Linked DNA regions of Nothobranchius furzeri. The protein of the gene in region 3 purifies or fractionates together with the protein of the main gene of each other region. This does not show direct contact. Links are inferred from orthologs where the notes say so. Each region holds a gene or a part of one and is shown on either strand. Other genes may lie near its edges. The genes, in order: sybl1, vamp8, stx8, napab, vti1a and vamp3.

Evidence for each region.
Region 1: the proteins of stx8 (region 3) and sybl1 purify together in Homo sapiens (affinity purification with western blotting; 3 studies listed by BioGRID and IntAct, with this or other methods). This does not show direct contact. The link is inferred for Nothobranchius furzeri from reciprocal best matches to the Homo sapiens genes STX8 and VAMP7.
Region 2: the proteins of stx8 (region 3) and vamp8 purify together in Homo sapiens (co-immunoprecipitation; 5 studies listed by BioGRID and IntAct, with this or other methods). This does not show direct contact. The link is inferred for Nothobranchius furzeri from reciprocal best matches to the Homo sapiens genes STX8 and VAMP8.
Region 4: the proteins of stx8 (region 3) and napab purify together in Homo sapiens (affinity purification with mass spectrometry; 4 studies listed by BioGRID and IntAct, with this or other methods). This does not show direct contact. The link is inferred for Nothobranchius furzeri from reciprocal best matches to the Homo sapiens genes STX8 and NAPA.
Region 5: the proteins of stx8 (region 3) and vti1a purify together in Homo sapiens (affinity purification with mass spectrometry; 3 studies listed by BioGRID and IntAct, with this or other methods). This does not show direct contact. The link is inferred for Nothobranchius furzeri from reciprocal best matches to the Homo sapiens genes STX8 and VTI1A.
Region 6: the proteins of stx8 (region 3) and vamp3 purify together in Homo sapiens (co-immunoprecipitation; 3 studies listed by BioGRID and IntAct, with this or other methods). This does not show direct contact. The link is inferred for Nothobranchius furzeri from reciprocal best matches to the Homo sapiens genes STX8 and VAMP3.

What each region holds. Positions count from the first base shown.
Region 1 is NC_091741.1:28,141,484-28,146,374, forward strand, and holds the start of sybl1 (vesicle-associated membrane protein 7), read left to right. Parts: upstream 1-1,790; 5' UTR 1,791-1,975; intron 1,976-2,292; 5' UTR 2,293-2,322; coding exon 2,323-2,468; intron 2,469-2,565; coding exon 2,566-2,623; intron 2,624-3,807; coding exon 3,808-3,945; intron 3,946-4,891. Other genes in the region: polr1d (DNA-directed RNA polymerases I and III subunit RPAC2), read right to left, coding at 1,189-1,227. UniProt on the Homo sapiens protein: Involved in the targeting and/or fusion of transport vesicles to their target membrane during transport of proteins from the early endosome to the lysosome. Required for heterotypic fusion of late endosomes with lysosomes and homotypic lysosomal fusion.
Region 2 is NC_091757.1:27,702,779-27,707,877, forward strand, and holds the start of vamp8 (vesicle-associated membrane protein 8), read left to right. Parts: upstream 1-1,852; 5' UTR 1,853-2,038; coding exon 2,039-2,053; intron 2,054-5,099. UniProt on the Homo sapiens protein: SNAREs, soluble N-ethylmaleimide-sensitive factor-attachment protein receptors, are essential proteins for fusion of cellular membranes.
Region 3 is NC_091747.1:69,833,819-69,838,177, reverse strand, and holds part of stx8 (syntaxin-8), read left to right. Parts: intron 1-4,046; coding exon 4,047-4,148; intron 4,149-4,359. UniProt on the Homo sapiens protein: Vesicle trafficking protein that functions in the early secretory pathway, possibly by mediating retrograde transport from cis-Golgi membranes to the ER.
Region 4 is NC_091753.1:46,790,294-46,795,098, forward strand, and holds the start of napab (N-ethylmaleimide-sensitive factor attachment protein, alpha b), read left to right. Parts: upstream 1-1,600; 5' UTR 1,601-1,725; coding exon 1,726-1,823; intron 1,824-2,494; coding exon 2,495-2,769; intron 2,770-3,912; coding exon 3,913-3,959; intron 3,960-4,055; coding exon 4,056-4,133; intron 4,134-4,231; coding exon 4,232-4,287; intron 4,288-4,805. UniProt on the Homo sapiens protein: Required for vesicular transport between the endoplasmic reticulum and the Golgi apparatus. Together with GNA12 promotes CDH5 localization to plasma membrane.
Region 5 is NC_091756.1:39,739,062-39,743,420, forward strand, and holds part of vti1a (vesicle transport through interaction with t-SNAREs homolog 1A), read right to left. Parts: intron 1,816-4,359; coding exon 1,757-1,815; intron 863-1,756; coding exon 752-862; intron 1-751. UniProt on the Homo sapiens protein: V-SNARE that mediates vesicle transport pathways through interactions with t-SNAREs on the target membrane. These interactions are proposed to mediate aspects of the specificity of vesicle trafficking and to promote fusion of the lipid bilayers.
Region 6 is NC_091743.1:51,774,936-51,780,077, forward strand, and holds the start of vamp3 (vesicle-associated membrane protein 3), read left to right. Parts: upstream 1-1,671; 5' UTR 1,672-1,786; coding exon 1,787-1,788; intron 1,789-5,142. UniProt on the Homo sapiens protein: SNARE involved in vesicular transport from the late endosomes to the trans-Golgi network.

The DNA.
Region 1 (4,891 bases), on a different chromosome or scaffold from region 3:
AAATGACTAACATCGGCCGATACCGATATTGAAGCCGACATATTGTCCATCGCTCATTTATTTTGCATATTTGTTAGCTATATTTAAAACAAGCAAAGATTTAGAAATATTTTTATGGATCCCATTTTATTCATTTGACAACATCACAAGAATATTTTCAGTTTGTTCTTCTGTAATGCAAGATTTCGTTTTTAATAATCCACTTTTATTGATCTAAAAAAGTTGCACAATATTTGAGAACGTACATTATTTTTTTAAATATAACCTTCTGCTGTCTTCAAATCTCACTTAATTTCAGGGAACACTAAAGACGGACAAAAACGGTTGGTTTTTCATATATCAGTATCAACTGATCTTGTAATATTTTTTCCCATATTGTCCAGTCCCACTGCTGAATGTCAAAATTATTATTGACACTTAAGGGGGCTGCCCATCACCCAGAGACTGATGTATTTTATATTTTTCCTTTTTGTAATTTTTTTTTAATCTGAGAGACAAAATCGCCTCTTAGAGTTGAACATTCCGTTTCTCCTCCAGGACACTGTTTATAGTTCTGACTGAATTAAATACAGAGTCAAATGTGACATTTTATTTCACGGTGAAGACAACAGAAGACAAGTCTTGCCTTGCTGTGCATGACCTGCTACTCTCCTTCCTAGCAAGAGGGTTATTTTCTCACTCTGCTTCCGGATGAATACTTTCTGATGTAAAAAACGAAGCGAAACAAACATCTGGTGAAGTTTTTTTTTCCCGTTGTGTTGTGCCCAAACAAAAGCGTGACCGTCAAAACAGAGGCATGTATCAAACCGCAACTTGGGATCCTGTAAACATTCAAATACAGTTCTAAAAGCTAATGTCTACATTTGCTGTTTTAAATATTAATCAATGTTTATCGTATCTATGATGAACGCTTATTACTCATTTTATTACTGAACTGATACACAGGCCGACATTATAAAAAAAAGGGGTGAGCTTCGCACGCACGACGTAAATCTGCAGTAACGGACTGAGTTCAGGTGAAGAGTCGTGCTAACTACCTAGCTAGCTACTGAAGGTATCCACGTGAGGAGTAAACTTAAGGGGTTACGTTTAGCCCCTATGTATCGATCATTTCCTCCCAAGTGGAGTCGGTTTACCGTCAAGATCACTTGGTCTATATGTAAACTGTGACACTTTAAAATGTCCTACCATTTCAAGCTTTGGTTTCTTTTCCATTTCTCCGGCCATGCTTCAGGCTTTTTCCCCCTTCTTCTTCTTCGGGTGTTGTATTGCGGGTGGCATACGTGCATTTCTGCCACCTACTGTGCTGGAGGGGGTCTATCGCACTCTTGATGGGTCACACTGATCAGTCCTGAGTTGTTGATCCTCATCTTTGTCTGACAGGCGTAAAGCGCAAACAAATTTCTAAATTCTATTTAAATATTTTAACATTTGGGTAAGCAGATGTTCGAGTTCGTAACAAATATGTATAACTTTAGATTATTTGTACAAAAGTAGTTGTTCATTTTGGGTAAATAATTTGTTTTATTTGAGTAAACTACAAATACTTAAATTTATCTGAAAAAATAAAATACAGTTTTAGTCTGGTAGTTCTTCCTTTACGGTATCAACACATTATTGATCTGAAAAACGTCCACAAACCAATTTTATGGACGATTTGTTCGCCTGAAAGTCTTTCAAAAGGGCCAATTTAACGCACACCTTCTATTGCTGTAATCAGAACAGAATTGCGCATGAAAACATGTGACGTTGAACGTCACGTGTTTGTCTGAAAAGAATTGTAGTTCAATAACAGAACCAAATGCGTTAAAATGTGGCTTTAGAAACTACATTACCCAATAGTGGGTTGAGGTCATTTCCGGTTTTTTGATTTTGCTAGTCAGAAGTCACTCAAAAAGGATTAGCTAGCAGCTCAAACAGCTTATGTGGCTATTAAAACTCTACGAGATACTTTGAGCATCGCTGACACATTGAGGTAATACATTTATTTGTGTTTTCTGTGGTTGTTTGGTTTATTTTGTTACCATGACATAACGTAACATCACACCTCCCTAACGCAGCTGTGTTTTGTTGAACAACATTAGCTAGCTAGTTTTTCTCCAAGCTTTTGTTTTGTCTCTCTAGAAATTACTTGAGTTTAACACACGAGCTGGCGGCTGCTCGCCTGTATTTGAATATTTCAGATGAACACGATTTTTCTTATTTGTTTAAACAAGCTCCTGCTTGCCCATATGGCTTTATTGGCCCTAATATCCACCCATCTCTATACTTCCGTAATTTTACTGTCTACAGGTACATAGCTGAATCCCCCCAGCTGTTGCCATGGCAATCCTGTTTGCTGTGGTGGCTCGTGGAACCACTATTCTGGCGAAGCATGCTTGGTGCGGTGGGAACTTCCTGGAAGTCACAGAGCAGATTTTGGCCAAAATTCCTTCAGAGAACAACAAGCTGACCTACAGCCACGGCAGGTAAAATCCTAACGCAGTGCATCTGTCCAGAAGCTGTTTCAGAAACACTCTTGGTGACAGATCTCAATGACTTTCTCCTTTTTGTTTGTTTTTATAGCTATCTCTTTCATTACATCTGCCATGACAGAATCATATACCTGTGCATTACTGATGATGTGAGTATACAACAACGTTACCTGCCAAATAAGGATACTTATCTACTCACGAATATATAGTGTCACAGGAAAATGCATCTTTTTAATCATGTAGCCTCCTGATTTAGATTGAGTAGTTCTTTATGTCCTGCTTTAAAACAGCCAGACTTTCTCATACGCTTTTAAAGTTGGATGATTAATAATTCTAAAGTCTTTCAGGTTTTTTTTTTCCTTTGAACTGATTTCTGAGGATTGTTTTGGTTCTGTTTGTTAAGCTTTAAGTTATTTATCTGTGGCGTATAATTCATTCATGCATTAAAAAAGCCTTAGATACTAACAGGTGTTGTGTTGTGGTTTAACAAACAACTTGGCAACGGGCCAGTTAGGATCTTTAGGCACTTTGCTACCAGCAGCCTGCCACAGACACTATTTTTGTTCCCATTTATTTAGTATAATCTGTAAAAAGTAACACAGTGTTGCAGTTGGTAGCAGTGTTGCCTCGCTGCAAGGTCGAAGGTCAAAATCTGTCCTTTCTGTGTGTAGTTTGTATGTTCTCCACATGCATGTGTGGGTTTTCATGGATAATGCATTGTCCACTGAATCAAAACGTTCACATTAAGGCTGACTGGAGACTTTGTCCCTAGGTTTGAGTGAGTGTGTGACTGGTTGTTTGTCTTTCTGTGTGATGGACTAGCCTGATGACTGCTAGGTTAGACACCAGCTCCCGTGACCCTAGTTAGTTAGACCGAAGCGGTTCAGATAATGGATGGATCAATAACGAAATAACACTGAAAAGTTTACGTCCTGTCAGGTCTTTGATTGTTTTTAAAAGTATTTCTCAAACAAAGCTTTGGTACTTTACACCTGCTGTTCTTTAGGTCTTCTTTTGCCCATTGGTTCACATTCCTCATTTTTTCAAGAGCATGCTGCACAACATCCTGTCATGGTCAGGTATGAGAAGAGGAAATGAGTGGAGAATCTACCAAAGTCCAAAAGAACACTTTAAACGAGCGTCAGAAAGTCTGGTGGTTTAGTGATCAATGCCACTAGAAAACGTCAGTCTGCTTCCTTTCAAGCAAAAATTAAAAAGACAAATCTGTGTGTTTCAAAATGTTATTATTAAAGCAGAACACTCACACTGTTCCACCCTTTTTAGTGAATCTTGGTTTGTTTTAACTCACTTTATTTTTATTTTTTGGTGGCAGGACTTTGAGAGATCACGTGCGTTCAGCTTCCTCAGTGAAGTCAAGAAGCGTTTCCAAACGACGTACGGCTCCCGAGCTCAAACAGCTCTACCCTACGCCATGAACAGCGAGTTCTCCTCAACACTAGCAGCTCAGTTGGTGGGTGCAGCAAAAGGCTGAGGACATTCAGAAAAAAATTTGCAGACTAAATGTTAGTCAAACATTCAAGTATTATTATGAAGCGCGTTTAAAAATGGCTGTCACTGACCAGAGTCTTTAAGGGATATAATAAAAGAAATGAGTGAAATAGCACAAGACCATAAAGGTAGAGGAAACCAGAATAAAAGTGTAAAAGCTAATAAGGAATTTATGTTCAAGTCAAAGTCTCCAGAAAACCTCTCGGGGTGGGGGTGCGTTAAATCAGCTGTTTCCTGATCAGAAAAGCCCTTCACTGCCAGCGTTTTTCAGCGTTTTCACAGTTTTTTTAAGAGTCACCAAACATTCTGCTGTATGATGATGTCAGCGCCAAAACTATCAAAACAAAGCGGAGACTCGCCTCTCACATCAGGAAGAATCCGCGCGTTTCGAGCGTTATCCGTTCTTTCATAATCCGTTGTTGAACTGTGATCGGCAGAAGCTTTTCCGGTTCGCGCCTCACTTTTTTTACAGCAGCGGCCCAAAACGATCTCCTAACACAGGGATGTTCTGCTTCCTGATCACGTGACGTGTGAGGTATGCAGATGAAGATCGGCTTTAGAGCTGAGATGTTTGTTCTTACGGTGCGGGGGCTCGTCCGACGCCCACACAGTAAAAATGAGTTAATAGATTTTTTTTACTGATCTGGGGAACTAATTTTGAAAGAGAGAGATTTGCTCTTTCAATTGATTTTTTTTTAAGACTTTTTACCTGTACCTGGTAATTTGGTGTGGGTGTTTGCTGTGCTGAGCATTTATAAACTTGTTAAAAAAAAACTCAATTGTCTTAAATATCCACCAAATTATTATAGTGAAGCTACACTTGTACGCACAGTTGTTTCCCCACCTGTGGGTTTTCCAGTCATTAGGAAGTGGGCCCTTTGCTTTTGTGCACAACATTTGTCTTAAGC
Region 2 (5,099 bases), on a different chromosome or scaffold from region 3:
GCTGCATGTAAGCTAAAAAGACACATTCACAGGTGTGGACACCCCGTTTGGACATTTCATCCAATTAAATTCATGTTGGTCAGGTGATGACAAAATAATTTTGTAGGATAATAACAGCTTTCACAGAGGAGAGAAAGTGTGAACATTTAAGAAACAAGAACAGAAATGTCTGCCCAACCTTAGTTTTAAATAGAAAGTAGGCCTTTCTGTTTCTCTGCTGGATCGAATCAACTGGACCTTAGAAAATGAAACCCACATGAATGTTTTAGTCTAACAGCTTTCGATAGGCATGCATTACAAATAAAACCAGAAGGAAAAATGTGCCTGGCCAGAGAAAGGGTCTGGGAACTCTGCTATTTAAATAACCCCACCCAGAAATCTAACCGAGCCAATCAGCGCTGAGTAGCGTTCGTCACACACCACAACGCCGAGTTTGTCACAAACACCCTCCTTTGCCAGATTTATGAATGACTTTAAACAATATTTTTCCTCGCTTAAGCATCTAAAATCAGACCGATTTGTTACAATTCATGACAAAATCTCATCTCTCGGTCTTAGACTATTAGGCTCTTATCTTCTGTGCTACAGGATTGTATTTGTATTTGCAGGAGTATTATTTGGATGTTGTGTTTGCATTAACCCCCCGTCTTGTGTCTTGATTTTTGTAAAGTCCCTTTTATTTTTGTTATGTCCCTTTTGTTTTCACGTATCTATTTTATGTTGTACATAGATGCTGTCATGTTATTCACTAAGCTGTTGGTTTTGGCTGTTGTATTGACGAGACTGTAATCCTCAACGAGAATATGTATCTTGTTCAATTATAAATAAAGAACATGGCGACTGAATGGGGAGTTCGCTGCGGCTCTTTCCTCTGTTCTAGATGACTTTGGCACGTCTTTAAAACAACAAGTAGAAGCACTAAAAGCCTTACTTCTAAGAAAGATGGCGCTGTCGCCAGACGCCATTTTTGACTACAGCTAAAAAACTACTGCATTGCGCGGTACTGTCTGCATTTCTGTCTTTTTTGTGATTGGTGATTTTTGAGCTTCCTAGTCCCGCCCCTCAAGTGCCTCTCTGCCTGTGAGGAACCAGACACTCTCTGCAGGATTAAACAGGACCAGTCTGGCAGGCCAGGCTAAAACCTATGAGGAAAACACACACACAGCACTCACTTATGAGTGTTATTGTCTTGTTTAAAAGCTGAACCACTTTCTATGTAACAACTATTATTACATTATAATAGTTTAGCACAGATGTCTGCTGTGGTGAATAAAAAGTATTTATTTAAAACTTAGGCCTACTGCTAATGTGAATTTGTTATGTTTGAATTGCTCTTATTTTTGCAGACGTTTGTTTAGTTGAGCATCGGATTAAATCACAATCCAACTCTCACCACTGACTCACAAATCAGCAAAGCTTCAGACAAATAAACGGATGAATAAATATTCTATGTGCCCTTGAAAGGTAATTACACTCAGTTTATCAACAGCAGACACAATACAGGAGTACATCTTCTAAATAAAAGCATAGATGTTTCACAATAAAACAAACGATGGCCCAGGTTCATAACAAAATGTATAAACGCAGAAGTAAAAATAGGAAGAGCATTAAATAATTAAATAAATAAAATAATACACAGTTTAAAAAACTTAATTAAAATCCAAGTGATTTGGTTAACACGTTTTATCTCCTGTTTTAAATTATGAAACAAATGTAGTACCGTTTTATTTTATTTAACTTTTCTAACGTAATGCTTGTAAATGTTAATAAACTTACTTTAAACCGTTTAATGAGCTTCACGTTTATCGCTTTAATGAAACCGGATGTGGGTTTGAGCTGAAAACTCGAAGCGAAGGAATTCAGAGTGAAGAGAAAAAAACAGGAAGTGAAACCAAGGAGGAGCGAGTGAGAGAGAGAGAGAGAGAGAGAGAGACACCTGTAGGAGCGTCAAACTTTTAGGTTTTACATCATTTTAAAGGTTTTAAACTAAAGAACCGTGTCTGTGGGTCTTCTGAAGGAGGATCTAGTTTCTGACAGGATGGACGCGGACCCGGTAGGTGATGTTTTTCTTGTTTTGTTGCAGCGACTCCATAACGAGGCGCCATGTAAGGAGCAGGTGTGTTTGTTCAGGTCACATGAAGAAAATGAATAATGTTTGAGTTGAGGGGACACCTGTAACTTACGACCCTGTTTTCCCTGAACAATGGCGTCCACTCGGAAGCTGCTCTGCGGTCCTGCTGTTGGACATTTACTTAAGTTAATGTTTGAAAGTGTGAAGTCGGTGTTTAAATGAGCGTTTTAAACGCTGTTGCAGCTTAAAGCTGTTTGTTAGCTCAAACTTAGCTAGCTAACTTAGCTCAGAGATGCTGTAGCATCTTGTTCCTGCTGGCTGGAGAGGTCAGAGGATCAGATACTTCAGAAGGTGGAAATAATTTGTTTTGGACTGAAACCTTGGTCTGTCCACATACGTTTGGTGTGTTTTCTAAGCAGGCGTGCAAACAACAGATGTAAAAGTAATGTTGTTGCTATTTAAGATAAACTGATCTGTATCATCTTATTTTTTCAGGGCATCATCATTGAGGCACTTGGATTCAATTTCTGTAGTTTTGAACCACTTTAGGACACAAACAAATGTTTTTTTATTCTGGTCAGCTGGATATCTAACGGTGGTTTTTGACTGTTAAATGTTTGTGACCAAGTGAGAAAAGCTTTGCATGCAAATCTGAAGCAGGACTGATCCTCTGCTGCTGCTGGGAACAGAGGTGTTTCAGTCTTTATAATAGAGACAGAACAGATTAAAGCTGAAAGATCAGGATTTACACTCCATTCAAATCTCACATGTGCTCACAGATTAAGGGAATTTCACATTTGACTAGTTAAAGAGTCGGCATTTTAAATGGCTCACTGAGGATATAGGTTACATTTATTTTGCAATCAAATGAAAGTTTTCCTTTAAATTTACCTTTTAAATCATAGAGACCACATCTGTGCCAGCTTTGTAGTTGCCTGCTATCTAATTTTATTTCCTCTTAATCAGGTTTTACTGGAAGACCCAAGTTCGTCTTCATCTGCTTCCTCTCCAGCACATGCTGAGCTCTTTTAAATGAATCCTACCATCTTTATGCAGATGGCATCCAACTGTACATCTCCTTTAAGAACCATGAGATGTCTAAGCTACAGCTGTTAGTGTTTCCCCTAGGGATTTTTCCAGCTGTGGTGGTGGGGGGGGTAATGACACGACTCACCTTTATGTTAATATTGTTTTATTTGATGCACTCCACTTTGAACTACACCAGTACAGCAACTGCTGCATTTTAATGACTAGTATTGAAGGTGAATACCTCTTATTTATTATTGGAAATCCTTACTTTGGTTAAATAAATCAGTTGTTGAACCCCCCACTCCTCTGTTTGGTCTCCTTTCTTATTACAGCCCACCACTTCCAGTCTGGGTTGTAACAATCTGCAGACAGATTTCTGAGCATCTCCTCCTTTGGTACACAGATCCTCACTGAGCCATGTACTGTGAACAAATAGTTTCTCCGTGATATTATCCAGCAAGATCTTGTTTTTGTCAAAACAAGGGTGAGGTAATGAAAAAATAGAAATATTTCAATAAATTAACATTAAAATTATTTATATGCATAATTAAAAAAAAACATGTTTTGAAATATATAAAGTGCACCAAACTTGACTCAGTCCATTCAACAATTCTAAATGGACAATTATGTAACTCATCAATTAATTATTTGAAAGGATAATTTGTCAATTAAATGCTGAAAAAAATAAACAATACATTAATGAGGCAAGAACTTTTTAAACTTGGACATACCTACACCCACAAGTCTATTTTTACCTGGTTAAAACCATCTAGCTTATGTGCACTTTTTAAAACACTGCCCAGCAAACATTCGGACGTTTAATGACAGTTGAACGGTCACAACTGTAAAATAATATCACAGGAATTAGGAAAGAATAACATGACATCAACTCTATGTCCCTTGGCCGGACTCGAACCTGGATCCTCCAGAGTGAGAGTCACCCGCTCTCCCAGCTGAGCCATGACAGCAACTGCTGAATCTCAGATTTTTTTATACAGATAGCTAGAGAGTAAAGTGCGGAGTAAACTAACCAATCAGAGGACAGGGAAGATCTGCCACAGGCCACGCCTCCAGAGTGCCAAAACTCCTCACAGCCGAGCGAGCGGAATTAGAAACCGAGCGCGCAGAGGCTGCCGAGCGCGCAGAGAGGCTGCCGCGCGCGCACGTTTTCCTCTGCCGTGTGCTCGTTGGCAACGCGCGCACGCAGGTTTGTCACTTGTGCACATCCTTGTGCGCTCACAGACACAGTTTGCTCCCTCTCAGTGCACAAATGACCTCTCGCCATGTATATTTTCGCTCGCGAGTCCCGTTCACACGCGCACTGTGGACCCAATGCGCGTGCACGGGTTGTGGCACGGGTCTGACGCGATACTCTCTCCCCCAGAGATCGGTGGACTCAGTGGTCTCCTTTAAAAGCAGCTGAAAACTCACCTGTTCAGGCTGGCTTTGGTGTGACCTTAACTATTGCCCTTTTCTTATTCAGCTCTTTCTACCAATTCAGCCTTTCCCAGCATCCACTGATTACCTCTTTTTTAAAATAATTTTCTGTTTTTCTTTCCCAAAAATTTCTAATCACAATGAAAATTTTTCTTAAATATATGATATTTTTTAATAATTATTTAAAGTCTTTATTTTTTATTTTTTTATTTGCTCTTGTGAAGCGCCTTGTGATTTTTGTCTTAAGAGGCGCTAAATAAGATTGTTTTTTTTTCTTTCTGACTCGTCGTGCATCCCGTGAATAAGAGGTTTGCTGTAGTCGTTGCTGTTCCATGCACTGCCTCACACGATTTCCTGTCTCTGTGAAAATGTGTATCTAAAGTTAACAGCCTTACTGTGGTACTGTAATGTTTATGTTTATGTATTTAGCAGACGATTTTGTCCAAAGCGACTTACAAGTGATAATCAGCATGTTGCCCTTGAGGCTAACAACAACAACAACTTGGCATCAGTCATGGAGAGGAGGGAACAATGGAGTGGACAGTAGAGAGGGGGGACGGGT
Region 3 (4,359 bases):
ATGCTCATTAATTATTCAGAATTTTAAGCATTTAAATACACTTAAACAGAAAAGTTAAAGAAAATTCACCCCCATCACAGTTGTCACGAATATAAACTAGATCTATTAAACCTAAAATGTTGAACCAGGCTGTAAACATGTTTATTTCAGCTGTAAAACGGACATTTTTAACATGGGAGTCAATGATGATTTGCCCCTAGCGGATGAGGGTGGAACTGCAATCTTAGCCACTCCTTCAGCCTGGCCTGCCAAATCTTCCTCTGTTTAATTCTGCACAGAGAAAGGGTCTGGGAGCTCTCCTATTCAAATAACCCCACCCTGTGAGAATTCTAACCGAGCCAATCAGCACTTAGTAGCGTACATCACACGGCATAACGCCGAGTTTCTCATAAATATGGCGACGGAAGCGGAGTTTGCTGTGGCTCTTTCCTCTGTTCTAAATGACTTGAATGTCTTTAAAATAACAACAAGTAGAAGCGCTAAAAGCCTTTCTTCTGAAAAAAAAAAGATGTTTGCACCGTTGCCAGATGCCTTTTTCATTACAGTTACCCCCAAATTCCACTACCTCCGTTCCGCTCCGCTCCGCTCCGCTCCGGTCCGCCCCCGCCTTCCACAGCCGCTCGCTTCCGAACTCAATTTTTACTGGTACCCGCTCTACAACGGCTCCGCTCCGGTGCGGAGACCTGAGGTGGGCAAACAAGCATGCGCGGGATTTTCGAGATCTTGCGATACAGTCCGAGCAATAAACGCGGAAGTTAGATCCAAACACCCGTTGTGTGGGAGAAGCATCGGCATGAACTGTTTAATCTGCCCATCATTTGTGTTGAGAGATCGGCAGTGTTTGGATCAACTGAGTGTGACTACTTTGATAGTAGAAAGTGTATTTATGGCTTATTTTTGTGCATTTAAAGTTCAGCCGCCATTGATAGTTGTTAAAAGTTGTTAAACCTGTGCATATGAAACAAAAAAACGCCTTTTGTTTATCGATTTATTGTGAAAAACGGAAGTTGTGCTTGCTCCTTTTCCTGTTGGGCGGTTGTGATTTCTGTCCATTTACTGCGGAGGTGCTCCGGCGTCCGGCAAAAATAGGATTGATTCTATTTTTGCCGGACGCCGGAACAGAGGGCGGGGCACTGCGCCGCGCTGCCGGAGCACGGCCGCAGTAGTGGAATTGCTCTGATTGACAACAACGGGACCGATTTTGCTCCGGCGTTCGTGTCGGAGCGGAGGTAGTGGAATTTGGGGGTTAAACAACTACAGCATTGCGCGGCACAGTCGGCATTTCAGTTTTTTTCTGATTGGTTACTTTTGAGCTGCCTAGTCCCGCCCCTCATGCGCCTCTCTGCCTGTGTTACCAGACTCTCTCTGTGCAGAGTTAAACAGAGGATGAGTCTGGCAGGCCAGGCTGCTCCTTGGCTTCAAAACATGTAGATCATAATGGCCTCTTGGTGTGGGGAGGCTGAGCAGGCGAACTTGTGACCAACTGTCTTATACATATTTGTTGTTCCTCTGATTATTGCTTCTCTATATGAATCATTTTGCTTATCTCTTTTTTTTTTTTTGCACCAAGTACTGCTGCAATTTCCAAATGTTGTTATTTCTCACATGTATGGCAATAAACCCCCTTCTGATTCTGACTCTGACGTTCCAAATAGGTGCTAGTGGAAGGATTATGAAAATGTCAAAAAGACCATAAACACTAGTAAAATTCACCTTTTAATGTATTTTAGACATTTTTAGGTCACATTTAGCATTTGATGTGCACCTTTCATAGCAATGTATTTTTGACAAAGTTATAAAGATATCAAAAAAGATAACTTAAACACATACACTCATTTTTTTAAGCTGTGGTAGAATTTTTCATCAAGCTGAGCCTGAAACATGTTTTTCTTTGAGCTTCAGAAGATCAGAGGCAACACCAGAAGCCCATTGATGGAAGAAAAAGACACCTTAAGGAAACTTTAGGATTTTGTTGAACACAACTTAATAATTATCAAAAATTTTCAAACAAAATGTTCGATGTGAAAAATTAATAGTTTCATTGCAGCTGTTGTTGGAGGTTGTGTCCGAGCTCCAGTGCGTTTTGGCACAGCTGGAAATTCATCAATGAATTGAGATGTTTCATTTGGGCCAAAGCTGAATCAGGGAACTTGGCAGCGGCTGACTAGCATCATGCTTTATGACTCGTTGGAGTGGCATGCGGCAGAAATGGCTCAGTGTCTACACCCTTTGCCTGACAGTAAAGGAAGAGTTTCTTCACTCTAAATTGTTGCCTGATGCTCAGATGATGATGTGGGAGTCTCCAGGGGCGCCATGCTTACGGCTCTCTCATGTCTTCTTGTTTCAACGCTTTTCATCCCCAGACAGACACGCTTTGCTTTCCTTCCTTGAATTCATGCATCTTAATTAGTCCATTTCAGTCTAAACACAAACTGTCTTACCAACGGGGGATGACTCGCTCTTATTCAGGTGTTTTCTTGACACTGAGACAAGTACGATGCTGAGTACAGTTGTGGGAATTTAGTGATTTAGCACAAATTTAGAAGAACAAATCCATGACTCATTCAGATTATTTGACCCTTTTGCCATCTAAAGCAACTATAAACCATTATTCCAGGGCTTAAGAAGTATATATGTTCTAGTTTCACTCATTTAAATGTATTTTTAAAAAGTCACCACACTGATTTTGTTGTGAAACTGAATATAGAAGCTAGCAACTTTGTCTTATTTTTGCTTTTTCTTTTTTATTTTATAAGGCTACTGGATATTACCTGTCATCACTGCTAAAGTTAAGATAAAAAACAGACTTTTTACACTGGAGCTGTGTTCTGTAGTGACTCTCTTGATTTATAACAGGAGTAATGAGGCATGCTGCTCTGGATGTAATTGCTCACATGTTTCTTCATCTGTTTATTCATAGTTTTCTGTCAGTGTGACAGTTGGGCTCTTGAGAGAGACTGATGGATGGCCTTTACAGGAAAAGATGTTGTTTTTAGCAGAATTTTGTTTTGATACGCCCGTCTTAATACTTCTGAGCAGATTTGTAAAAAATGTGGTTAAATTTGTGGTCAAATCAGCCATTTTATACGGCAGTCATGGGTGAAATGGGTTGGCATTATCCGTAAACAATGGCATTCTTTAAAAACAATACCATAGTCAGAATTTGGTCGTCCTCCAGCAGTTGTCTGATTTTATTTCTGGCTCCAGACCTCTGGAGATGCCACGATAACACAAGCCAAGCAAATCACGCGGCTTCATCTGGACAACCTTCAAGACTTAAAGTTCTGCTCTAGAGACCCTGGCCAAACATGTGTACACAAATACACACACATATGAACACACACACACACACATACAGAAAAATAGAAACATAAATATCAACAGGGTATCCGCGGGTCTTTAATAAGTCTTAAAAAGTCTTAAATTAGCTTTTCCAAATTTAAGGCCTTGAAAATCCTTAAAAATGACAAATAATCCTTAAATACAGTTTCCAAAGGTCTTAAATTACCAACGACCCAATATTTCTATGAAATTTTCGTGAATTTCGAGTGTTCAGCATTTTTTGTGTATGATGTTGGCGTAAGCGGAACCGTACACATTCAGTTGGTTGTGAAAGGGGGCTATTTTTAAATGAGCACATTAGCTGGTTAAGCTAGTGGGAGCTTGCGCCATGGGGAAGTGCAAATTTAATGGTAACTGGATGGCTAATCCCACGTTCGCGACGTGGTTAGCACCGGTTCCAGCCAATAGCTGGAAAATATAGCTTAAATTTAATTTAAAAAATTGCTTAAATTTGGTCAAAGTGGCCTTAAAAAGATCTTAAAAAGTCTTAAATTTGGCTCCCTTAAACCTGCAGATACCCTGAAAACTATTTTTTTAAAGCCTAGTCTTGCAAAAGGGTGGATGATTACTTGCACACAATCCTCTACTGTGCGTTTATAACCTCTGCCCTTTGAATTAGCCGACTTTTACAACACCAAGTATAAAAATGGTTATTCAGAAACTAATTAATTAATTTAAACGTCTTCTTTTCCTGTCTGTCTCAGAAATCATCGATGACCTCGCACAGCTCGTCGACACGACGGACAGCAGGATTCGAAATGAAACACGAAGGGTGAAGCTGGTGGAGACCAAGTCAGCGTCCTGTGGTGAGCCTACTTTGTTTCAGAGTTACCCAACAGGAGGCGGCCTGCAGCTTGAACTGCTGTTCTTTAAGCTAGAGTGGTGTACTACGAAGGTTCACTCAAATGGGAGGGAGAGCTTAGCACAGCACGTATACACCCACCCCCGCCCCCAGACCTCTGCGCCCCACTCATGCGACACATTAGGGTTTGTGGTTGAGTACCTCTAGGAAATGGT
Region 4 (4,805 bases), on a different chromosome or scaffold from region 3:
AGAGTGACACAATTTTAACACAAATTACGCACAGCGGCAGTCCGGTTGAGCTAAAACGAAGAAATGCTGTCTGCTTATAGTCGTAAACGCAACTACGTGGCGAGCTATTGCTAATTGCAAGCAGAATATCAGTAAATGTTGGAATACTCTTGGATGAGAGGGGGTATGCTTGGGAATTCGTTGGAAAACGAGCCTGTTTACGGTGTGATGCGGCAGTGTGTCGCTTCTTTTGCGGTAGCAGTGCGGTTCGTGTCTGCTGAACAGTTAGCAGATATCGCAGCTTTGTAGCGGATATTGGGATTAATGGAGAAATTGTTACATTGTAACAAACTCACCCGAGACGTTAGAGGTGCAGGCAGCGCGGGGTCTCCAGGACAGCCTCGCACGGGCTGCTCAACAGGACCCAACTACTGGCAGGAAACGGCAGACTTCCGCTCTGCCTGATTGAAATCCATGTTGTTTATCGAGACTTTCTTTACACACAAATACCCATTCGGAACATTAAACGGTTTTTGAACATTTTTGTTGTGTTAATTAGTGCATTCTTAAATTTGACATATTCTTCATGTTAACTTGTTTTCATTTTTAAAACTCAAAAAACATCAATAGAAAGGCAGGAACAGCAGAGGAAGCCTGTGGGGAGAAATTGCTTAAAATGAAATCATAAAAGAAACTGGATCACAAATGTAAAAAAATATAAAAGCAGTCATGTTAACAAATGCCAGCAGATTTGTTAGATAAATGCAACCCAGTCTTGAACTGCAATCAGATTATATGATTTTGGCTAAGAAAAGAACAAACTAATCTACAAAAAGCCTAAGCAAAATACTGTAACATAATCTACAAGAAAACATTCCTTTTCCATATTTTAAATAATTTTTGTATAGTTCTAAAATACGTGATTATTTTTGTAAATTTTAAAAAGGTATTTGAATGTTTGACTCATGTAGTTACCTACCACAACCCATAGCCCTAAAATATGTTTGTCATGTATTTTTCAACAAAATATTTTACACACATTTAATTCACTGTGCTATAATGCAAAGCCTGGAAAACCACTTAACATAGTTGTTATCTATTATTTATGTTAAAATTGTAAAGATTTCAGCTGACAAACAGTTTCATTATGATGCTAACCCATTTTGATTAAAAATGTCTCTTTATAATGGAACTGGCATTGACTAAAGGAAAGCATTTTCTTATTATAATTCTAATCAATATTCCTTTAAAACTGCACTTTTGAAGATATTTACGCTATTACGTTTTATTACAACATTTATGCTTAAATATTGTCACCTTTAATGTCTGATTGCTTATAGAAAAATAATTGGCTGTTGAAAACAGATAACACAAGGGAACTGTTTTATATAGATTGTCATGAACGCACTGTAATGATCCTGAGACAGATTAGAAGCGATTCCTTTGTTTCTACAGCAAATATTAACAACGAACATGTTTCTTAATTAAATTATCGATTGATATATTGTGTTGCAGCATGGTCTACAATCAGTTTATAACATGAAACATTATAGATTTGTAATGGACCAACTCTGGACCGTACGAGCAGCACCTGAAGGCAGCAGGGCTGTGACCGCCCTCCCATTGTCACGTGACAGAGAAAGCGCTGGCTGCTGATGTGACACTGCTGTTAGCAATACTTAGCAACTTTGTTGACTTTAGTATTTTTTCGCCCCCCTTTAGATTCAGAAAAACAAGTAAAGCAGAATGGATAACAGTGGGAAAGAAAAAGAAGCTACAGCTTTAATGGCGGAGGCGGAGAAGAAAGTTAAATCATCTCAGTCGTTTTTCGGGTCGCTGTTTGGGTGAGTTTTAGTTAGCTGATGTTTAGCTTCTGCTTTCAAGCTGAGGGCCAGCTATGCGGAAGGTGACCACCTAACACCAGGGCTGATGGCTGGGCACAACAGGACTGGAGCTGCTGTTAAGATGTTGTGGTATTGAGAGTATTTGTCTACGGACGTAAGGTTATTTCCCCGGATTTCTGCTGACCATAACGTCTGCAAACAACAAAGACTAACACGTAGCCGTTTATCCCAGTAAACTGAGAAAAATTACACTGAACAAACCGTTGTTTGACATGGACGATAACAGAATACTAAATTCGTTTTTATTTAAGTATGACTGTAAAAAAATATTTTTTTAAAAAGTGTGATCACATTAGCTCTGCTGTAGCACCATCTGCTGGCTGTTCCGTATTGTGCAAATCGTCACAATGTTTACAGTAGAAACCTCAAAGTTGTATCAAATCTAATGAAAATTATTTATTGATATTTGCCTTTTGCCATAAAAATGTTGGTGCGGAAATATTGTCATTATTGGACAACAATCTCAACAGATGAAATACTATCTACTATTTTTATTTTGAAAAGTAATTACTTATTATCCAGTCTTGTTTATTGCATTTACACGATCCTAACCTGCTAATAACCAGTATCTTATAGTTGTTGTTTTTTTACACGTTTTTTCTTTCACACAGGAGCTCCTCCAAGCTGGAAGAGGCCTGTGATCTGTATGTGAGGGCAGCCAACATGTACAAAATGGCCAAAAACTGGTGTGGTAAGAGGACAGTTACTTTCCCTTCCTTGTGCATATCTGTTGATATGTTTTATCTTTTAATTTGTGTTTTCTTTTCAGCTGCAGGAAATGCGTTTGCTCAGGCTGCTCATCTTCACCTGCAAATGCAGAGTAAACACGATGCAGCAACTAATCTCATAGATGCTGGAAATGCCTTCAAAAAAGCAGATCCACAAGGTAAGAGGTCACTCAATTTTACATGGAGCTCTTTGTAAAAGGTTTTAAAATCTGGAAGGAAATACATTTTTGGACTTTTTAAAATTAACTTCATATAAAGTGCAGCCAATCTAATTAATACCTGGTTTGGCAGCAAGTTTGATCCCATGACTGTGTACACTTATCTACAGTCTTTAGTTTACCCCATACTAGCTTAGTTCCAAGCATCTTGTGTGTCTGAAATTTAGCTGTCTTCTATAGACTTACCCCTGATCGAGACTCTTTATTTTTAAAACTAAGGGTAGTTTTTATACATGCAGATTTTGAACAACATCAATGCCTGTTTGCAGCAGTTTATTTGTGCCTGTGCAGGTGGCACAACTCAAAACTAAATGTGATATAAGTAAGATGAAACGTCAAAGACAAATACCAGGAATTCTTGAGCAGTCAGAAATGTTAAACTCCTCAACCTGTGCAGAAGTTTCTGGGTAAGCCTGATTCTGATGTTTAGGGTAAATGTTTCCTACAGAAGTGCATTTAAAGACCAAGTTCACTGAGAAACTTTTTTTTACTTATTATTATGTAAATATGATTGGAAGCTCTGAGTTTTGTGTACAGGCTGAACGTGAAAAAAGTCTTCTACCCATATTTCCTGCATTAGTCGCCCATAGAAAATAGATGGGGAAATGTTTGAGTTAGAAAGTACAGTCAGCTCTACATCAAGCTGTGAATTAACATTCATGGACTCGCCCATCTTGGCTCACGACGGGGGAAGGCTGTTGTTGGTTTAGCACCCAGAAAAGAGCAGAGCTAGTAGACACTAACTGTTAGCATGAGCAACTCCACAACATAGCAGAACTCCTTTAGGCTTGTGTTATTTGAGGAGATAACATATCAGTGTTGCAGAACAGTCAGTGGTAGAGTTGTGTTAATGTTAGTCAATCAGAGGTGAGATGTCCGAACATCAGGAATTCTGCTCACTTCTGCTTCCTGAAACAGGAGCATGAGATGTTGTTTCACAAGCCATTCATGCATTCTAGAGATCACTGCAGATGTATTGAGAAAATGAGTGAACTTTGTCTAAAGTCTGTTTTCTGCAGTGGAAAGAAATTTCCTTTTACTTATTTCTTGTCATTCACTGAACTGATGTTTTTCTCTCAACAGAGGCCATAAACTGCCTAAACCGAGCTATTGAAATATACACGGATATGGTGAGGTTTTTAATACAAATCCCCCTCCTAAGCTATTATAGTTTTATTGATTTGTGTTTTTAATTTTGTTTCGTCCTTGCTCCTGTGTAATTTTAGGGTCGTTTCACCATCGCTGCTAAACACCACATCACCATCGCTGAGATTTATGAGACGGAGTTGGTGGACATCGACAAGGTCAGAGACACAGCTGATGGTTATCACGTTGTTTATATTTGATCAAATGTTTACATGGTCATTTGAATTTTTTTTTTTCGGGGGTGGTGGTGTTTCAGGCTGTTGCTCATTATGAACAAGCAGCAGATTATTACAAAGGCGAAGAATCCACCAGGTAAATATTTGACGTAACACATCTGAGCAATACTTCTGTCCACTTTTGGGTTTAAAGGGAGACTAGGCAGTTTTGGCTTGCTTTTAGCACCCCCTAGTGCCCAATTAGTAGAAACAAAAACAAAACCTATCTACTTGCTGTGCGTTTTTCTTTTTAACACCTTGATCTAACAGCTGAAATGTCTCCCCAGCCTTCATTAGTGTCTACAGGACACAAAATTCATCAATAAACTAAACAGTTTAGCTGTGTTCATGATCTAAAACATGCAGGAAGCATGCTAGAACCAGACTGCAGCATCAGGTATGTCGGCTCACCTTTTCCCCCCGGACTGGCACTCTGAAGTTGCAAATGCGGTATTCTGACCACAGAGGACGGTGGGGGTCTGAGTGACATTTCATTAACCCTGTTAAGGGTCATTTTAGCAAATAATGACTCAAGAAAATTATTTAAAAATACCAAAAAGTTGCCTAGTATCCCTTTAAATAGACCTGAAACAAAAATGTATAAAGATTTAGCAA
Region 5 (4,359 bases), on a different chromosome or scaffold from region 3:
GAAGGGTCAGGCCGGGGTACTCCGGAGCTCAGGGCCAGCGGTGGGTTTTGTGTGTTTTTGTGAGTTTGAGTGCAACTAATGTGACAACAGAAAACAAACAAACAAAATAAACAAAAAGTTGAAAATTATTTTAGCAATGTGAGGGTTATATAAATAACCAAAACACGTCTTGACTTTTTTAGAAAAACTGAGGGAAATAAAAAAGGAAATGAAGTAAACATGCATTCATTTGAGCTGGATAATCACTTAGTTCAAAACTAGTATTGATCAAGTGAAGTATCCTGAGCAACACTGAGTAAACACAGAGTAAAAACAAGTGACCCAAAAGACTGGACTGTTCATAAAGCTTTGACAGAGTTTTGAAATAAAGTTAAAAAAATAAATAAATAAATAGGGATTTATGAATTACTAAACAAGGCCAGATTCTGGAGCTGAAACACAAACATGCACAACCTGCTCTCAATGGACACTGCTCACAAGTTCAAATATAAACTGTGAATTAACCTCTGTGGATGCACTACTGAGCTTCAGTGCTGGACTGTTTATGTGGGTAAAAACGAGTGCACTTAGAGTTTGGTTTGGGTTGTCTATAAACCACATGGGGTTTGACTGCAGCAACTTTTAACAAGGCTTGCATGTATATTTATTCCTTTGAAGAAATGTTGTGAAATAAAGTTGCATAATAACACTTAATGGTTATTAACAAACATCTATTTCCTTTATAAAGTGATGCTATTCGTGTTGTACTTACAAAGTCTTTCTCCAGCTTCTCCACTTCCTGCTTGTAGCTCTTCAGCCTGCTGTTGTACATGGCTCGGCTCTGGGCGGGGATCTCTCGCACCTCCAAATCCATCTGCTCCAGCTGAAAACCACCAGTGATGCACTTTATTTGTGGGCAAAACATTTCCAAGGTTCATTCCTACAGTTTTCAATCAATTTTTAGCAATACACATTAACCTGGCATGAATTTTAAACGTAAAATCGACTGACTTATCACTCAGAAAACGTACAGTTTTCATGTTAAGATGCAACAAAAATATAACAAAGTTCCTCTTTTTTTGTGTGACTCACAAAGTTACCAGCTATGACAATAAACATGTTTATGGCAAACACTTCAATTAGGCAAATAAAAAAATATGAAACATTTAAAAAGAGCAGCATTAACTTGGTTTTGTTTGTAAAAAAAAATAAAAATGCCACCTGCTTACGTCACTCAGCTGTGATAAAAGCACCAACAGAGTAAGGTGGTTCTGTAAATAAATACACCATCAAATGCGAGACCCCCCACCCCCACCCCCTTTTTTTTAAATTGCAGTGACATGAATGGGCCCAACAAAACTGTCACAGTGGATGAGGAAAAGGTACATTTGATGTATCGGGACGACAGAACTCATCTTGGCAGATTTGGAGGAAACTAATCACCGCGGCATAACAAGACAACCGCAAAAACAATTTGTCTCTATCTGGTGACTGCTTTTTTTTTTTTTTAACAGCAACATGAAGTCTTCCACCTCAAGATAATGGCTTGAAATGTGTCATAGGGGTGTCACTTAAAAGCAGATTACTGGGAAGTAATCGTGTGAGGAGGAAGCCTCCTTTCCCGCCACGTGAAGTGCGTGCATGTCTGCATGTCATGTCACCGCCTGGATAATACAGGTGCTGCTGTCTGGTGCCGGTGAAAACTGTCCCCTCCCCCTCCCACAAATTCATAATTTAGGCAATGGGACGAGGAGAAAATTACTGATCAAAGACATACCAACTCTCTGACTTCTTCAAGCTGTTTGTCAACATTTAGAACCAGCTGTGTCTTCTCCTCTGAAAGAGAAAAAAACAGAAACATATTGATCAGCCGGCGGAGGGAACAGCGCTTCATGACAACAGCCTGACTCCCACACAACAGTGGAAGAGATGGCGGGGGAAGAGAAAGAAAAAGACATTGGGAGAGAACAACACACGAGGACACATTTGAAGATATATTTACACATTCTCTCCACACGACGAGCCAACATTTGATGTGTCTTAGTAATGGCGTGTATGAGGCCTTTGTTGGTTTCTGCTGAGGAGCTGTGAGACACCTCATGCCAACTCAAAGGGAAGGGAGGTGTCAGCTTTGCTCACTTGCCAGAAGGATGAGTCCCTCTCAGAATGACTAACACACTGTTCTACACCTCACCCCATGACTGCTCTACCACATTACCCAAAGAAACTCATTAGGACGTCAACTTCCAAAGCTATAGTACCTTCAACAGTCATTTACAGCCACAGCGCAAACGCACGCTATGCGTGCTGAATTGGTCTTTGCTCTAAAATTAGCTCTTTGCCATGAAAGTAAACAATATGAAATGTAGAGGTCTGATGTGGCTGCTCAGTGAGTGGGTATCCTTTCTTCTTTTTTCCAAAAACAACACAAATAATACATAATCGTTGTTAAAGATTAAAACAAGACAACAACTTTAGGATTTTCGGTAAAATGTGTGACATTCATTTTGGTAACATTTACAGACCTTTAACCACTTTATTTTGAAATTTTGTAATTACGTTTTATAAACACTTTATAATTACGGCATGTCAGAAACATACAGTGACAAAATTGAATATGCTTGTAGTAACAGGCAAGTTAGAGGACATGGTCTGTGTTGACATCACAACACAAAGAAAACAATTGCAAGATCAAAAATAAATCAGTGTGGGCCTGGACAAAAATGAAACAAAACACCCATTCATCCATTTTCATCTGCTTATCTGGGGTCGGGTCGCGGAGGCAGCAGCCTAAGCAGGGAGGCCCACACTTCCCTTTCCCCAACCACTTGGGCCAGCTCCTCTGGGGAAATCCCAGGGCGTTCCCTGGCCAGCCGAGTTACATAGTTCCTCCAGCGTGTCCTGGGTCTTGATTTAAGCCTCCTCATGGCTGGACGTGCCCAGAAAACCTCACCAGGGAGGGTTCCAGGAGGTCTCCTAATCAGATGCCTGATCCACCTCAATTGGCTCCTTTCGATGTGGAGGAGCAGCGGGTCTACTCCGAGCCCCTCCCGAATGTTCTCTAGGGACAGCCCAGCCGCCCTGTGGAGAAAACTCATTTTGTCGCTTGTATCTGTGATCTCATTCTTTCAGTCACTACCCAAAGCTCGTGACCATAGGTGAGGGCAGGAACATTGAACAGCTTGTAAATCAAGAGCTTTTCCTCCTAGCTCAGCTTTCTCTTCACCATGACAGACCGGTACAACGCCCACTGATCCTTAGGCCACCAAAACAGATCTCCTCAACACCTCAAAAGATTCTAATCAAAAATCTAAAGATTGTATGTCCAAGCGTTTGGGATATTAACAAAAGATTTAAGCTGTCCTCCTGACACATCACCATGAATGGATTACATTTGAATATGAAAAAACTAAAAAAGAAAGTGGCTCAGACTTGGGACAGGATTCTTAAAAATTAAAGATGCATTTCTGTGAGTTTAGATTATTGACAATATTCCTATTAACATGAGAAAAACGAAATAAATATCTGCAGCAAAATGTTCCAGTTTAGAAAAACTAGAAGTGCAAGATATTAGGAATAGCATGTGACTGTGTGAGTTCTTAATTATTAAGATGATGATCTTGGTTGTGCTAAGTCTTGTTGCTTACTTTTCAGTTTGTGGTCTGGCATAATTACACTCATGACTACACAGTGTGCGTTAGCATTTCGGACACATCAGTAAAACCAGGTGCAGCCATGAGAGTCCATCAGAGCAGTATGTAAACAGATGTCCCTGCCAGCAGATCTTTGTGACATTGATATTGTGCACACATATTGTGATGTTAACTTTGTTCTGTTACCTTGTGACATATGGTTTAGCCTAAGGACCAGCCTTCGTCTCTAAAAACAGGACAAGCCTTTTTTACATCATACAAGAAACCTTATTTACCCAGGTACCTTTCATGGGAATGTAAGAAAATATTGATACACCAAAATGTCGTGATATATCATTTCATGATTCTGAATCAATATTTTTAAAAAATGTATCAATTTTTTTATTGATAATTTACATGAAAACATTTACCGTACATCTTTGTGTAGTGTGGTTCAAACTCCGACTGCTAGGTGGCAGCAGTTTCTGCCGCCTTCATTCTGACTAAACACGATCTTGTGATAAAACTATTTTAGAAGTGTCTGGCCTGAATTTTCCAATTAAATTCAGTCTTAAAAAAAATTGCAAATTTTGTCTGGCTTTTAGTAATATATTGTATCGTCTTCCCTGTATTAGGATATGAATCATATATCCAGATTCATGCCAATAAACACCCTACCTTGTTCAGTTCAGTCCAGTGGTTGTCCAGTAAATAATAAAGGTGTGAAAACTATGATAAGAGACAGCAA
Region 6 (5,142 bases), on a different chromosome or scaffold from region 3:
TATTTATGGGATTGCTTGCCAGGCTAAGGGTTTTGACCACTGAATGCTATTGTGGAGGTGAGTTTGTCCCCTTGTCCATGTTTTATTGTTGAATCATGGTGTTGGGTATTTACATTTAATCAGTCCAGGCGTACCTCAAAGAAAGTCCAACACACACAAGGGGGTTAGGGATATTAGATTACCATTTACCAATATGATCAATCACCAATAATCAACAACCAGACTGCAAACTCGGAGAGAAAGGAGATACACACCAATGGGATGTCTGTTCGGTCTCTCGACGAGCAGAAGCTCGCAAAAAGGTTTTATTCAAAAGTAACATAGCACACACATTAAAGGAAAACACACATCCCTCCTTCACAGAAAGCAAACTTTCCCAGGTTCTTGGTATAACAGAGAAACGCTCCGTCTGGACTTCACTAGGGAGCTTTTTGTGATAACAGAACTGCAGACATACAAGGTCGAACTTCCCTGCCGGAGCCACAGAAAAGTAACAAAATATGAACAAGGAATGAACCTTCGTTTGAATTAAAAAACACCAGATGGTACCCAGACAAAATCATTTTCCATGCATCCAATACTGTTTTTATCCAACACATGGAGTCAAAGTGAGTATTGGAGTCATATAGAGGTTGTTTTGAGTTCTTTTGTTCTTGAATTCTTTAGAACATGTATTGCTTTTTCAGATCTTTCCACATACCTTGTGTTTTCAGACATTCTACTGAAGAGCTTTGCTTCCAAATGTATGGTGGTAATCAGACCTGGGTGTGGCAAATGTAACTCAACATTCCAAATAAAAGCTAGTCACAGTTAATCCATGATTTAGCAAGAGGAGAAGGGTTAAGTTAGGTTAGTTCATATCCCTTAATTTTTTAATGTGTTATTTTAAAACAGCATTTTTTATTTACTCAGGTCATCTTTGTATTGTGTTGGTATTAGTTTGCTGATCACTAACATTTAAGTGTAATTAAAAAGCATAAACAGAAAGAATCTGACAAAACATTTTCACAGCACAGTACACACAACAACAACCCGCACATTCATGGATACTCTGATAACCAACAGCCTGATAAATTCCTTTACTCCCTCTTAAATCAGTACATCACATGACCCTTCAGCAGCCAGCGAACCTGGACATCTATTTTTATTTTCCTTTTTTATGTAACTATAGTTGCACAGATCAAAATGAATTCTACATTAAAAGATGAGTTGTATCCAAATGAACACTGTAATTTAACACAGTAGCCTTTGTTTTCATGTCACACGTTGACCACGAGTTCACGGCTGTGTTCTCTTCTCATTTTTACTAAGCACACAAACCAAAAGTATATATATATATATATATATATATATATATATATATATATATATATATATATATATATATATATATAAGAGAGATTTAGGACATTACTCTTGCTTTTATTAGCTTCAATGCTCAAAAACGCTATTTTTTAAATTTATTTTTAAAGAATTTTGCTCATCAAATTGGAAAACATTGATGAAAAGTTATAAAAAAACTTGAAGTTCCTTATTTATACAACAGTTTTCCAAACTTATTGTTTAGGTCACATATCATAGGTGTAACATTTAATCACGTTTGAGGAATAAAAAGACAGAAACAGATTTAGTTGTTTCAAGAAGACTCTGACGTCATTTATGTTTGATTTTCCAATTCCCGACAGCCCGGAAGGCTTCACGACTAACGACCGCACTCGCTGTTACGGACTACTTTACAAACAAAAACAACAGCAGCGGTTTCGCTAAATTAAAATATCTTTTCAAAATGTAAGTATTTTATGTTTCATTCACAACGCCTTTTGAGTCAGCTCAACCAAAAAACTGTTTACTTTGTTTTATAGTATAATACGATGTGATTAAACAACGCCCAAAACTTTTTTACTAGCATGCAACAAGTGCTGCTAGCACTTAGCTTGGGCCTCAAACGTAAGCTAAGCTAGCTGTAGCATCGTTACATTGATACTTTTAACTTCGTTTAACAAAAACTTTATTGTGGTATCTTTTTTTATCAATCCGACGCCAAAAGAAACAAGTATATATACCACAAGCTTGACTAATCTCCACAGCTGCGCAACTTATTACTGAAGAGTTTCCTTCCGAAACTAGTGATTTTCCGTTTGTTTGGCCTTGCTAAGATAGCTACTTGCACCCAATTCGAGTGTTTGAAATGACAAGATGAATAAATCACACATTTTAATTGTTTTACTTCACGTGGAAGGTGTATTAACAGAAAGTAATGGTGACAATAACTTTAAACGGGGTGATCCCTTACATATTTTCCAAAGAAGTCACAAGTTAGTCTCATCAGTTTCTTTATATTTGTCATTAACACTGCAACATTTAGTCTCCTATTAGATCAAGATGTTTAATTTAGAGTCAGTCAGGAGAGGTTGAGACTTTTCTTATAGATTAGATTTAGATTTTGCACACACACATAGAATGATAAGTAATTGCATATGCTAACTCCATTTTAAGATAAATTTTACTGTAAAATGCTTTTACATATTTTGTTATTGGTGTATATATAAGGTGATATTAATAAAATAAGAGCATTCTGATTTAATCTTTTGATGATTGATGCTACAGTTTTGGTGACTACTGTCTAAACCTTTTATTCACATGCACACTGATATTATATGAATGCTATTATCTAAAGTTATTCTGTTTTAGAAACATTGTATTCATGTAGAAGTTTTAAACTGAAACAATGTACACCACTCGTGATTTTACTGTAAGGCTTTTAGTAGAAAATAAGAAAAATGTGGGTTTGAAGTAACAAAATTATAAACTTTCTAAAAATGTAGTACCTGGCTGGGATTAAATGATACTTTAAAAACTCGGTTTGGAAAATAAAGCCTAACTCGGTTTGGAAAATAAAGCCTAGTTGCAGATGTCCAAAATAAGTTTCTGCCATTGCAGATTTTTTACTATGCTTTTCTGAGTGCTGTTTTAACAAGGAGGAGTCTTTGTATTTTACTTCTGCTTCAAGGAGAGCTTTTCCACAAATATCTTCTCTGATGCCATAACCCAATTTATGTAGATCTTTCTTAACTACAATGATTATGTGAATAAAGTAATCAATTACTTTGTACAGATAATAGATTTAAGTGGTAATTCTTAGTTTTATTTATTCTAAATTCACATTTTTGACATTGTGTTAATAAAAATGATGCAGGGGCTTGTGCACAAATTGGAAACATGATCATAATTTTAATAAACAGTAAATATGTGCAATGGCTAAAGGAAAGGGAAGCTCAGTTACTCAAAGATTCAGAATTAAGTTGTGAACAACAAATCTGTTTTTGTTCCTTAAGTTTCCTCTCCTGTGGTTAAAGCAGCTTAAAGGGCATGAAAAACCAACAAGCAGTGAAAACCACACAGATGCATAGCACTAATGGTGCAGTGCTGTCTCAAACCAAAGTGGGGCAGCACATGACTATTGCAAAAGTTTGTATTTGCTGATAAATATCACATTCATTTCATTTTAGAAATAAAGAATTTAGCAGTGTTTAAAGATTAGATTTATATTTTAAACCCTTAAAATGGTTTTTAGAAGTAAACCAATAAAGCTGAAGAGCTCGACTTTTACACGTAACTTTGTTTTGTAAATGATGGCGTAAATGTCTGCTTACACTCTGATGTAGAAGTAACTGTATTGGTCACGTGTTTATCAGCAATGGTCCTAATTACCTGTGATCTGAAAATAACACCCAAGCACGCACTCCAAATTTTAGGTGCACTGCTCAAAGCTAGGAATGGCACACTTGCTTTTTTATTTGATCAAAACACACATACAATATTGTCCCAGAATGAGACTGATGATGCAAACTCATACACAGAAAGAGACGTGGATTGAATTGATTTTATTAGGTTGCATCGTGGCTTAAACCTCATTTCCTGTCCTGCAAGCTACCTGTTGCATCAGTTTAACCTGGCTTTCCACAGAATGCATAATTGCAGTGTAACATCTGCAAAGTGTAATATGCAGTGACGGATGACATCACGCACCTACACCCCTGCCCCTAGCCCCTCGCTGGAGGGCAAGAAGCCAGCACCTCCCCGTTGACCACTGTTGTGTTTATCTGTTAATTATCAATAAACAGAGCTAAATGGAGGTGAAATAAAATCAGTTAGCATGGTTAACACTAGGACTGGGCGATAGGGCCTAAAATTAATAACGATATATTAAGGATTCCACCTCGATAACGATAAATGGACGATAACTACAGTTATGCGCAGAAACAAAGTTGTCCACTAGATGGGGCTGTCCCATGTATTACATTGAGTCACATTTTTACGTGACTCAAGGTGATACAGCTTCTTAAAGGGACATGAGCATTGCCAACCTACACACATCTTTTCATTTTTCTTATTATCAAATTTATTGACATGAGAAAATTGTTTTCGATAAGAGTCAGAAATTTCGATAACGATGTAACGCACCCAAAGGCCAAGTATTTACATCACAAATGAACAGAAATTAACTTTTTATTTGCAGACACAAACTGTGTCACACATCCAGGGAAGCATTACATCTGTCTAGCCTCCAAACAAGAAAAGCAAGGATCTACGACATACAAGCAAATAAGTAGCCATAATGTGTTTTCCTTATCTTTTTAAGTAGTCCATGCAGAAAACAAGACTTTCTGCACTTTTACTCTGAATACAGTTTGCCTTCCTTGAATCATAAATGACTTTACAACTTTATAGGTTGATATAATCAAATGTGTTGAATGAACAAGGTGTTTAAATCCCAAAGTGTTTGAATAATTTATGTATCAATCAGTGTTGTATTAAATTAATATTTTTCCTGCAATGAATACATACACACAACACATTTTCGATTTATTGCCCGGCCCTCGTTAACACACATAGAGCTGTAGGCTTCACGAGTAGATGAAATAAGAACAGTATAGTTAAATTTTACAGGTTTCCAGCTGAAGGCAGTCATTAATGACCAATTCTAATGGATAAACCACCCACATGGTAGCAGACAAAAGCCGTTTTACAAAACAATGCTGTTAATTTGCCACAAAGCTGAGCTGGCATCAGGGAGCCTTAGGTCATTTATCAGTGGTCGGACCATGGCGGTAATGTTGCGCAATTGTATCCTTTTCACAA